Linked DNA regions of Astyanax mexicanus. The protein of the gene in region 2 binds, or shares a complex with, the protein of the main gene of each other region. Links are inferred from orthologs where the notes say so. Each region holds a gene or a part of one and is shown on either strand. Other genes may lie near its edges.

What was found.
Region 1: the proteins of sodium/hydrogen exchanger 3 (region 2) and chp1 are in contact, whole or in part, in a cryo-EM structure (PDB 7X2U), measured with the Homo sapiens proteins. The link is inferred for Astyanax mexicanus from reciprocal best matches to the Homo sapiens genes SLC9A3 and CHP1. Residues at the interface, in NP_004165.2 of Homo sapiens: Tyr396, Arg397, Met398, Gln400, Glu402, Arg474, Leu475, Asn476, Glu477, Leu479, His480, Gly481, Arg482, Ala483, Phe484, Asp485, His486, Ile487, Leu488, Ser489, Ala490, Ile491, Glu492, Asp493, Ile494, Ser495, Gly496, Gln497, Asn501, Arg504; in NP_009167.1 of Homo sapiens: Arg30, Leu31, Arg34, Leu38, Lys40, Glu49, Phe51, Gln52, Arg53, Ile54, Glu56, Leu57, Ala58, Ile59, Asn60, Pro61, Leu62, Asp64, Ile66, Phe70, Phe83, Leu87, Phe90, Leu115, Phe117, Ala118, Leu121, Tyr122, Leu135, Leu139.

Annotation. Positions count from the first base shown.
Region 1 is NC_064414.1:59,228-63,153, reverse strand, and holds the start of chp1 (calcineurin B homologous protein 1), read right to left. Parts: upstream 2,457-3,926; 5' UTR 2,142-2,456; coding exon 2,075-2,141; intron 1-2,074. UniProt on the Homo sapiens protein: Calcium-binding protein involved in different processes such as regulation of vesicular trafficking, plasma membrane Na(+)/H(+) exchanger and gene transcription. Involved in the constitutive exocytic membrane traffic.
Region 2 is NC_064410.1:30,485,436-30,489,361, forward strand, and holds the start of sodium/hydrogen exchanger 3, read right to left. Parts: upstream 2,297-3,926; 5' UTR 2,087-2,296; coding exon 1,852-2,086; intron 1-1,851. UniProt on the Homo sapiens protein: Plasma membrane Na(+)/H(+) antiporter. Exchanges intracellular H(+) ions for extracellular Na(+) in 1:1 stoichiometry, playing a key role in salt and fluid absorption and pH homeostasis.

The DNA.
Region 1 (3,926 bases), on a different chromosome or scaffold from region 2:
CCTGGATAGGGAATTTAGCAATGATAAAAACATTATTTCAAACAGGTTTTTGTAATCATGATTTGGTACAAAAGCAATATGCACAAAAGGCTTCATCTTTTGTTGAGCAACGATGAGGTTCTCTAGTTTTAAACAAATGTTTAAAAACAATATTTCTCAAAGGAATACTGGAAGGGATTCACATTTCTCCCTTTACAGTGCATAGTATCATAAACTATTAAAAAATCGGGTGGAATCTTAGTGTGTAAAAGGCAAAGAAGCAAGTCTAGAATACCCGTGATCTTCAACCCCTCAGAAGACACTGCATCAAGAACAGTCATTCAACAATAGCTGATAGAACCCCATCGACAAGGGGTTAATTTAACAGTTGCATTTACAAATACCACTTACAACTTTACTGTGCAAAACAGAAGCCTTGTATGAACCGTGTTCAGAAGTAGCATCGGCTTCTGGGCTTGAAGGCATCTGAGAAGGACCATCGCACAGTGGAAATGAGTATTTGTGGTCATTATTTCAGACCTTTTAAAGTCAGGGTCTGTCATGGCACCAGAGCGTTTCTTAGAGCAACATATGCTGCCTTCAAGATAACTTCTTTTTCAAGGAGGTCCTTGCATTTGACAATGCAAAACCACATGATGCAAACATTAAAAAGCCATGTCTGCAGAAGAAGAGTGTATTGGGCTGCCCTGCAACATGTCCTGTCTTGTTCTCATTAGAGAACTTTAAAAGGGTAAAACACAACAACTGCCATGAACTGTTACGTTCACTAATTATGTGTTTTCTGGAAAAAAGGGACAAAATAACAACTGAAACCTTTTGTTGCCTGGCATGAGTCATAAAATGACACCAGCACATTATCTGCATTTTTCCCCTCAAACAGTACGAACTATGTTATGTCAGAGCTTCCATTAAAAGGTGACAATTAGGGGAAGAACAGCTGACAAACACACTGCATTGGACACTAAGAAGTGGTGCAACAAAACCACAGACATGCAAGCAGTGTGTGAAGGCTACTGTTTAACAGAGAAGCTGTGTTACGCCACATTCAGCTTGGTTAATATTTTTGAGGAAAACAGCAAGAAACAAGGACAGTTCAGAAATATGAGATCAAAAAGAGCAACATAGCTCCAGCATCTGTGATATTCTACTGTATAACTGCAAAACTGCAGGTAAACACCACACTCCAGTAAAGTTTTTTGTACAAAGCTCGTAAAGTATAATTTTCTTTTATTTCATATTTTGCTTTCTGAAAAGAATATGTGCCCTAATCATCAGTGACCCCATCCTTCCCTCCATCTCCGTAAATGTTTAAAAAAAAAAAACATCAACACAAAGCACAAACTACACAAAATGTGGCTGCTGTCTCAGGAATGGTCACACACTGAAGTATTGGGCCTCATCGGGCTCATTCGTGCTTGGACCACGGAGTTGCTGCATAACTTTTATTTTTTAATATAAATAACTATTATTTACTATTATTATAAATCATTCCCTCAATTCAATAAATCATAGTTTAATGACCAGGTCTTTTGCTACCTCAGATTTATTACACTTATTACACATCTGGGTCAGTGTAACGTTTAGCACTTTAATTTTCTGACCATATCTAAATTCGAAAATAGAAAATTGGTATAAAACTTATTATTTTTTCCATTTAGTAAGGCAGAAATTTTTTTAATTATTTAGTTTTTCCTTTTCTGCCCTTTTTTAAGAAAAATGAAAAAGGTTAAATCTTATCTCGATTTTCACATTTGTCCATTTTTGTATCTTATAACACAAATTTGATGGTATAATCCAACTTGGAATCGCTGTTTGCGGCTTTATAATTTGTTCCCCCAGTTCAATAAATCATTCTCTTAGTTACAAAATGTATCTTAGTTTTTTATGTTCCTTTAGATTAATTATTATTAAAATTATTATTTTATCACAGATATTATTAGAACTTCTAACTAGTGGACAATGACTCTACACTACTTTACTGAGTCCCCTCAGGGTACAGTTGGCTAACTAACATGCTAACCGAAGTAACATAAGTAACAGTCTCAGTTCTAACAACGTTTAAATAAATACTCACAGCCAGTCTCCTTCTTAATCTCCTCTATATCCTCCTCTCTCAGTAATGAAGACGCTCTGGAGCCCATGGTTCTCCGCCCGCGGTCAGTTCAGCTGAAACCCCCGCTCCGCTCCGGCTCCGCTGCTGCTCGCTAGCCGAGTAAGCTAACGGTCACTCAGACAGAGGCTTAGCCTGCTTAGCGCTTAGCCTGCGAGCTAACTACCACAGCCAGCCGATTTCCGCAGCGTGTTTACCCTCAGCGCGGCCCTCACACACCGCTGCAGCTTTCTATAACCTCAGTAACTCCAGTACACTGCCTGTACCGCTGATCTAATACAGACACTCTGAAAACCAGGAGCGCTGGAGCTGCGGTGAACACTCTGGACCTTAAACTCTGCGCGACGTCAGCTAACGTCGACACCCCGTGGGCGTGGCCCGTCAACGCCCCATCTGCGTCACTGCCGTCCTATTAAATTATATTTTAGCCCCCACAGGATTCTTAAAGAATTCACCATTGAATGCACAAATTCTGTGTTTTTTGGCTGAAGTATAATGTCATGAAAAGCTTTAAAAAAATTGTACAACCAATAAAAAATACCACATTTCTAAAACAAAAACTATGATGGATTTGTTTAACAAACAAATGTAAAGAAGAGAATTTGTTTTAGTCTTGCATGTTTTTTTTATTTGTTCATAATAACTAATATGTGTTTATTAAAATAAAGTCAGTTTTATAGCATTAATAAAACGTTTCCCCTAAAACGATTTTTTTCCTTCCAACCCCAACATTTTAACATTTATTATGTAAAAATATATGTATATAGCTTATTCCCTTGTTACTAAAATGCTTATTATTGAAATAGCATTTTTTTATTTAGCAAATTATAACATATTTACTACATGGTATTCTTTTAAGAGACAGTCTATTATTTTGTTTTTTAAGCTAAAATCAGAAGCATTTCTGAGTGGAAAATGGAAAAAAAATATTGTGTTTGATGGAACCAGTGTGCTGCATCGACCATCCCTGCTAAGCCTAATATGTTAATTCTAAAACTGCGGTGTCAGATCACTTTTCGCTGGATTCTTCTGGCCTCGTCAGGCGTCTTTACTTTACACTCACAAAACTGACAGCCGTATATAATAACTCTCTTATATCCTTTGAAGACAATTCCCTTAACTTAATTAAGTTTCTGACTGAGCAAACTCTCTCTCTCTGACTGAACATAACCTGGATTCGGATTCATCCGCTCTGAAAGGAGACCGCATCAATCCGTGTATCATTCGTTCATTTGATATTCAATTGAGAATCAAAATCGGAAAATTAAAAAACCAATTCGTTTTTTCGTTTTTTCGTTTTTGAATATAATACCAAAAAACGAATAACGGCTTGTATTTTGTATTTTTATTTGGTTATCCAAACAAAAATTGGAAATTTAAAAAACGGACCAGGAGCCGAATTTGATTTTGATTTTGAACTTGACCCATTTGTGTGCCCCGGAAGTTACTGATTTGTTTATTCTTGGTGGGTTTCTGTTGCGCGGGAGTTCACTGCAGTGTTATCTACACAGTCTGTATTGCTGTAGGCTTTGGATGGAGTTGAGGATGGAGAGTTTTATCTTGTTCAGAGGAACTAAACGCGTTGCAGTGAAAGAAGACGATATGACAACAGAAAAAATCGGCAGGATCTTTCAGGTGTTTGTCTAACGTTCCGTAGCTAAATGTCATATTTAGTTAATACCTTCAAAAAGATCTTTAATTAGGCCAGAATGTGGTTCCAGTCCGGCCATGCTGCCTACAGCAATACAGACTGTGTAGATAACACTGCAGTGAACTCCCGCGCAACAGAAACCCACCAAGAATAAACAAATCAGTA
Region 2 (3,926 bases):
TCAAAACATCTCACAAAGTTAACTATCAAAGAAATTACATGAACATATTATGTTCTTACTTGAAATTAAGAATAAGCATCATCACATTGTTAATCTTTTAATTTTGTAGTTTTTAGTTTCATGTTTGATCTTCTATTATTCCATGATTTGAAGTGTAAAAGTGTAAATAATCAGTTTATAACAACCTATGACCTGTTTCGAAAGATTTATAAAAAATCTGTCTGTACAGAATGTATTGCAAAGAATGTTGCACTGCATCAATGTGACCTCTAGGTGGCAGACATAGCCAAAATAAGAAAATGGTTCATAAGCTGAATTACTGTCTACCATTCAATGGAACATTAATTAGCAGGTTAAACAAGCATTCTATAACTTCACACTGCCCTTTCTACATGACCCTTCAAAGAGTCCTACCTCCCTCCCTTTATTTAGGGACACACACACATTCACTCACTCACGTACGTCCTTTGCTATGACCTGTAATTCAAGTTCTAATAGTTCTTGAAATCTGATTCTACTACAATACAATATAGAACACTTTATGGAAAACTACTCACAGTGTGACTCAGTTCAGGTTGAAAGAGCCTGTTACAATCAATACTACTTTACATCATCATCATCATCATCATAATAGTAATAATAGATCTTTACACAAAACAAACACATATCATTACTAGTTTCATTGTGGGCAAACTGTAAATGGGCCACTGCTTTTGCAGACACCCTTGAGGACTCATTATACACAGTGCACGGGGAGGTGAGTTGGTTTCATTCCTTGAAATCATTTTAGTCCTTCTCTAATTTAGTCAGTAATATACAATAATGCATCTAAATAATAGATTTACATTTCATTGCATCACATAACATAGTCCAACATAATAAAATTTCCCAGTCAGGGATTTAGTTTAGACTTCCATTAATTTATTTTCCATTAAAAGAAAAATGCTGTCTACAACTGGAATTAATCCATGTTCGGAGAACTGCCCTTGGTTTTCTTCCATTATCATCATTGGATTGATGCCATTGGGAAATCGTTTAGGTTACCAACAGAACATTCCAGTGCATTATTATTTAAGAAAAGTCTAGTTTAGATGATATAGAAGTTATTTTGTGTGAGTGTGAAGAATCTTCATGTTTCATGTTAATGAATGGAACCTCCACATACACCATAAGTACTGCATTATTATCCTTTATATATAACTCTTGCTGTAAAATCACCGTACTAAGAAGAACAGAAAATGTATTTATCGTCTGTAACCTAGACTTTTGTTACATTTTAAATATGGATTATACAGATTATTATTCTATGATTACATCAAATACCTAAACAACTATCTGCCCTAAGATATTCTGAATTTATAACAAGTGTATGTCTGGAACAGCTGTCAGTCAATAGATTTTAAAAGATTTTAAAGTTTTAAAGTTGCACTACGTTCACTTTACCAGGCACATTTCAGATATTCTCTTTCAAACATACTATCATTTTATAAGTAGAAACATTTAATTAACAAAAAAGCATAGTGTATAGATCAATAGCAATGACAAAATGTAAATAACTGCAATCACAATGAACATTTTGAGAAATTAAATAACCCTTGTTATGTTTGTATGTCTTTTGGTTACTTCTACAAGTGTGTAACAAAATAGTCTATCCAGTGTCAGTTAAAGCAATGTTTAGTCTATGTTAGTAAAAATTATTCATTTAAATCACACGCACTCTAAAATTCAGTCATAGACATAGCACCTGTTCAGGCACATCAAATTAGACTCTGTATCATCACAATACAGTGATGATCCATCAGTGATGCAAAACTCTTCAGAAGTCAAGGAAAGATTCCAGATGATGCTTACCTAGTTTACAAAGCCAGCAGACCAGAACCCACAGGGCCACCAAATAAGGAGTTTCTATGTGGTGCCATTTCCAAGTGACGATGGGTAGAGTTGTGAGGGTAGTAGAAGTGTTGGTAGTGGCCGTTTCAGACTCTGTGGCCGTTGATGAGCTTGAACCACTGCTGTTGGCACGACACAGCGTGCCGAAGACCGACAGGATCGTGAGGAGCAGGCTGAGCCGTGGTAAAAGTACCATGTTGCGAAGATTTTTCAAATAAAGTTAAATAAAGTCTCTTTTAGCTTCGATCCTTTCTTTCTCTAGCTGTCACTTGCTGCCAGAAACCACCAGCATTTAATTGTCCTTTCTGACCTTGTAATTCTTTACTTTGTCAAACTATCTGCCAATTTTCTGCCATGTCAGATGATTTCTTCATACTTCTACCCACTTTTCTTCTGTAATCACTTAAAGTTTCAGCCAGAATGTGGCATGTATATAGCATCTATGGCTGTCCCTCCTTTAGGCATTGCTCCTCCTTGTGCCCAATAGCGGCTCAGGTGAGGATAGGACTTACCTGAAGGCACCGCCCTTTTCATGCTCACCTGTGGCTCTGCAGGTGCAGCTAGAGAAGCATTAACTCAACTCCGGCATGAACTGAACTTAGACCAGTGGCTGTATAGAGAGAATATATATTTAAGATAGTTTAGTTCAAAGGTTTTTAAGTTATTTTAATATATCTTTATCTTAATCAATATTGTGCAGTATAGCTACATTAAGATTGTACAGTTTTCTCTTTAAATTACAATACAGAAAGGGATTTTTAACACCATACACTGTTGTATATGAGCCAGACCAGATTCTGTAATAAACAGTAGTACATTAAACACATTTTATATTGATTTTATATCATATAAACTGCATTACAGCCTGGTCTGGATGAAAAGTGCACGATCACGCTTAACCTCAGACACTGCACAGGTTGAATTAGTCTGAAGAGAGGAAAACCTGCAATTACTGTTAAAGGAAGGAATGAAGAATACAGAGTGTAGCCTATGTAAAATACTATCATATGCAAATATTCTGGCACTCATAGACACATGGAATATGCATTTTTATTGTATATTTCTTAGGGGGAAATAAGTACAATCCTGAAATACTATAAAGAACACTTTTTTATATATTTTAATGTATAAATTCAGTTTTACATAACTTTACTAGGAAAATGCCCATCAAGTTGCAGCATATTTTTTTTATATCTACAATTAATCATTAAAAAGGGTACAGTACACCATTTTTTAGTAGATTCTAAAATAAAATTAACGAGAAAATGATGAAATCATTGTCTGTGAACTCCATGTAACCCAGAAATACAAAGAATAAGCAATATGTCATCACAATCCAGATACAAAGCATAATTTAAACACCATGTTCTTTGGTCAGATTAATCAAAATATGAAGTTCTTTTTGAAAACCACTGACATTATGTCCTGCATACTCAAGAAAAGAGGGACTATTCAGGCTGGTATCAGTGCACAGTTTATATACCTGTGTCTCTGATGGTATTGGATTGCCTAAGGCATTGGCAGCTTCCACAAATAAAAAAGGTAAACAATATGCAGAAGTTTAAGAACAATATATGCTCTCATCCACACAATGTCTGTTTCAGAAAAGGCCTTTCATATTTCAGCAAGACAATGCTAATCCACATTCATCACAACAGTGTACTTTCACAGAAAAAATCCTGGGTATTGAACTAGCCTTCCTGCAATCCAGACCTTTCACAAAAAGGCAACAAAAAATCCACCAAAGAGGACCCAGGACTGTTAAGCAGTTGGAATGCTATAACACACAAGAATGGGATAAAATTTCGCACTCAGAGACACAAGCCTGCCCCCAAATTTGTGGCTGCCTTCAGCTTCTAAATGAATTCATGTTTTGGTAGAATGTCTTACTTTCACTGACTGATGTGTTGAATGCTCTATTGTGAATAAAATGTCAGTCTATAAGATTTATTTTTTTTATTTATATTAAGTAATTGCATTGTGTTTTTATTTACATTTTGCACAGTGTCCCAACTTTTTGGAATCGGGGTTGTGAT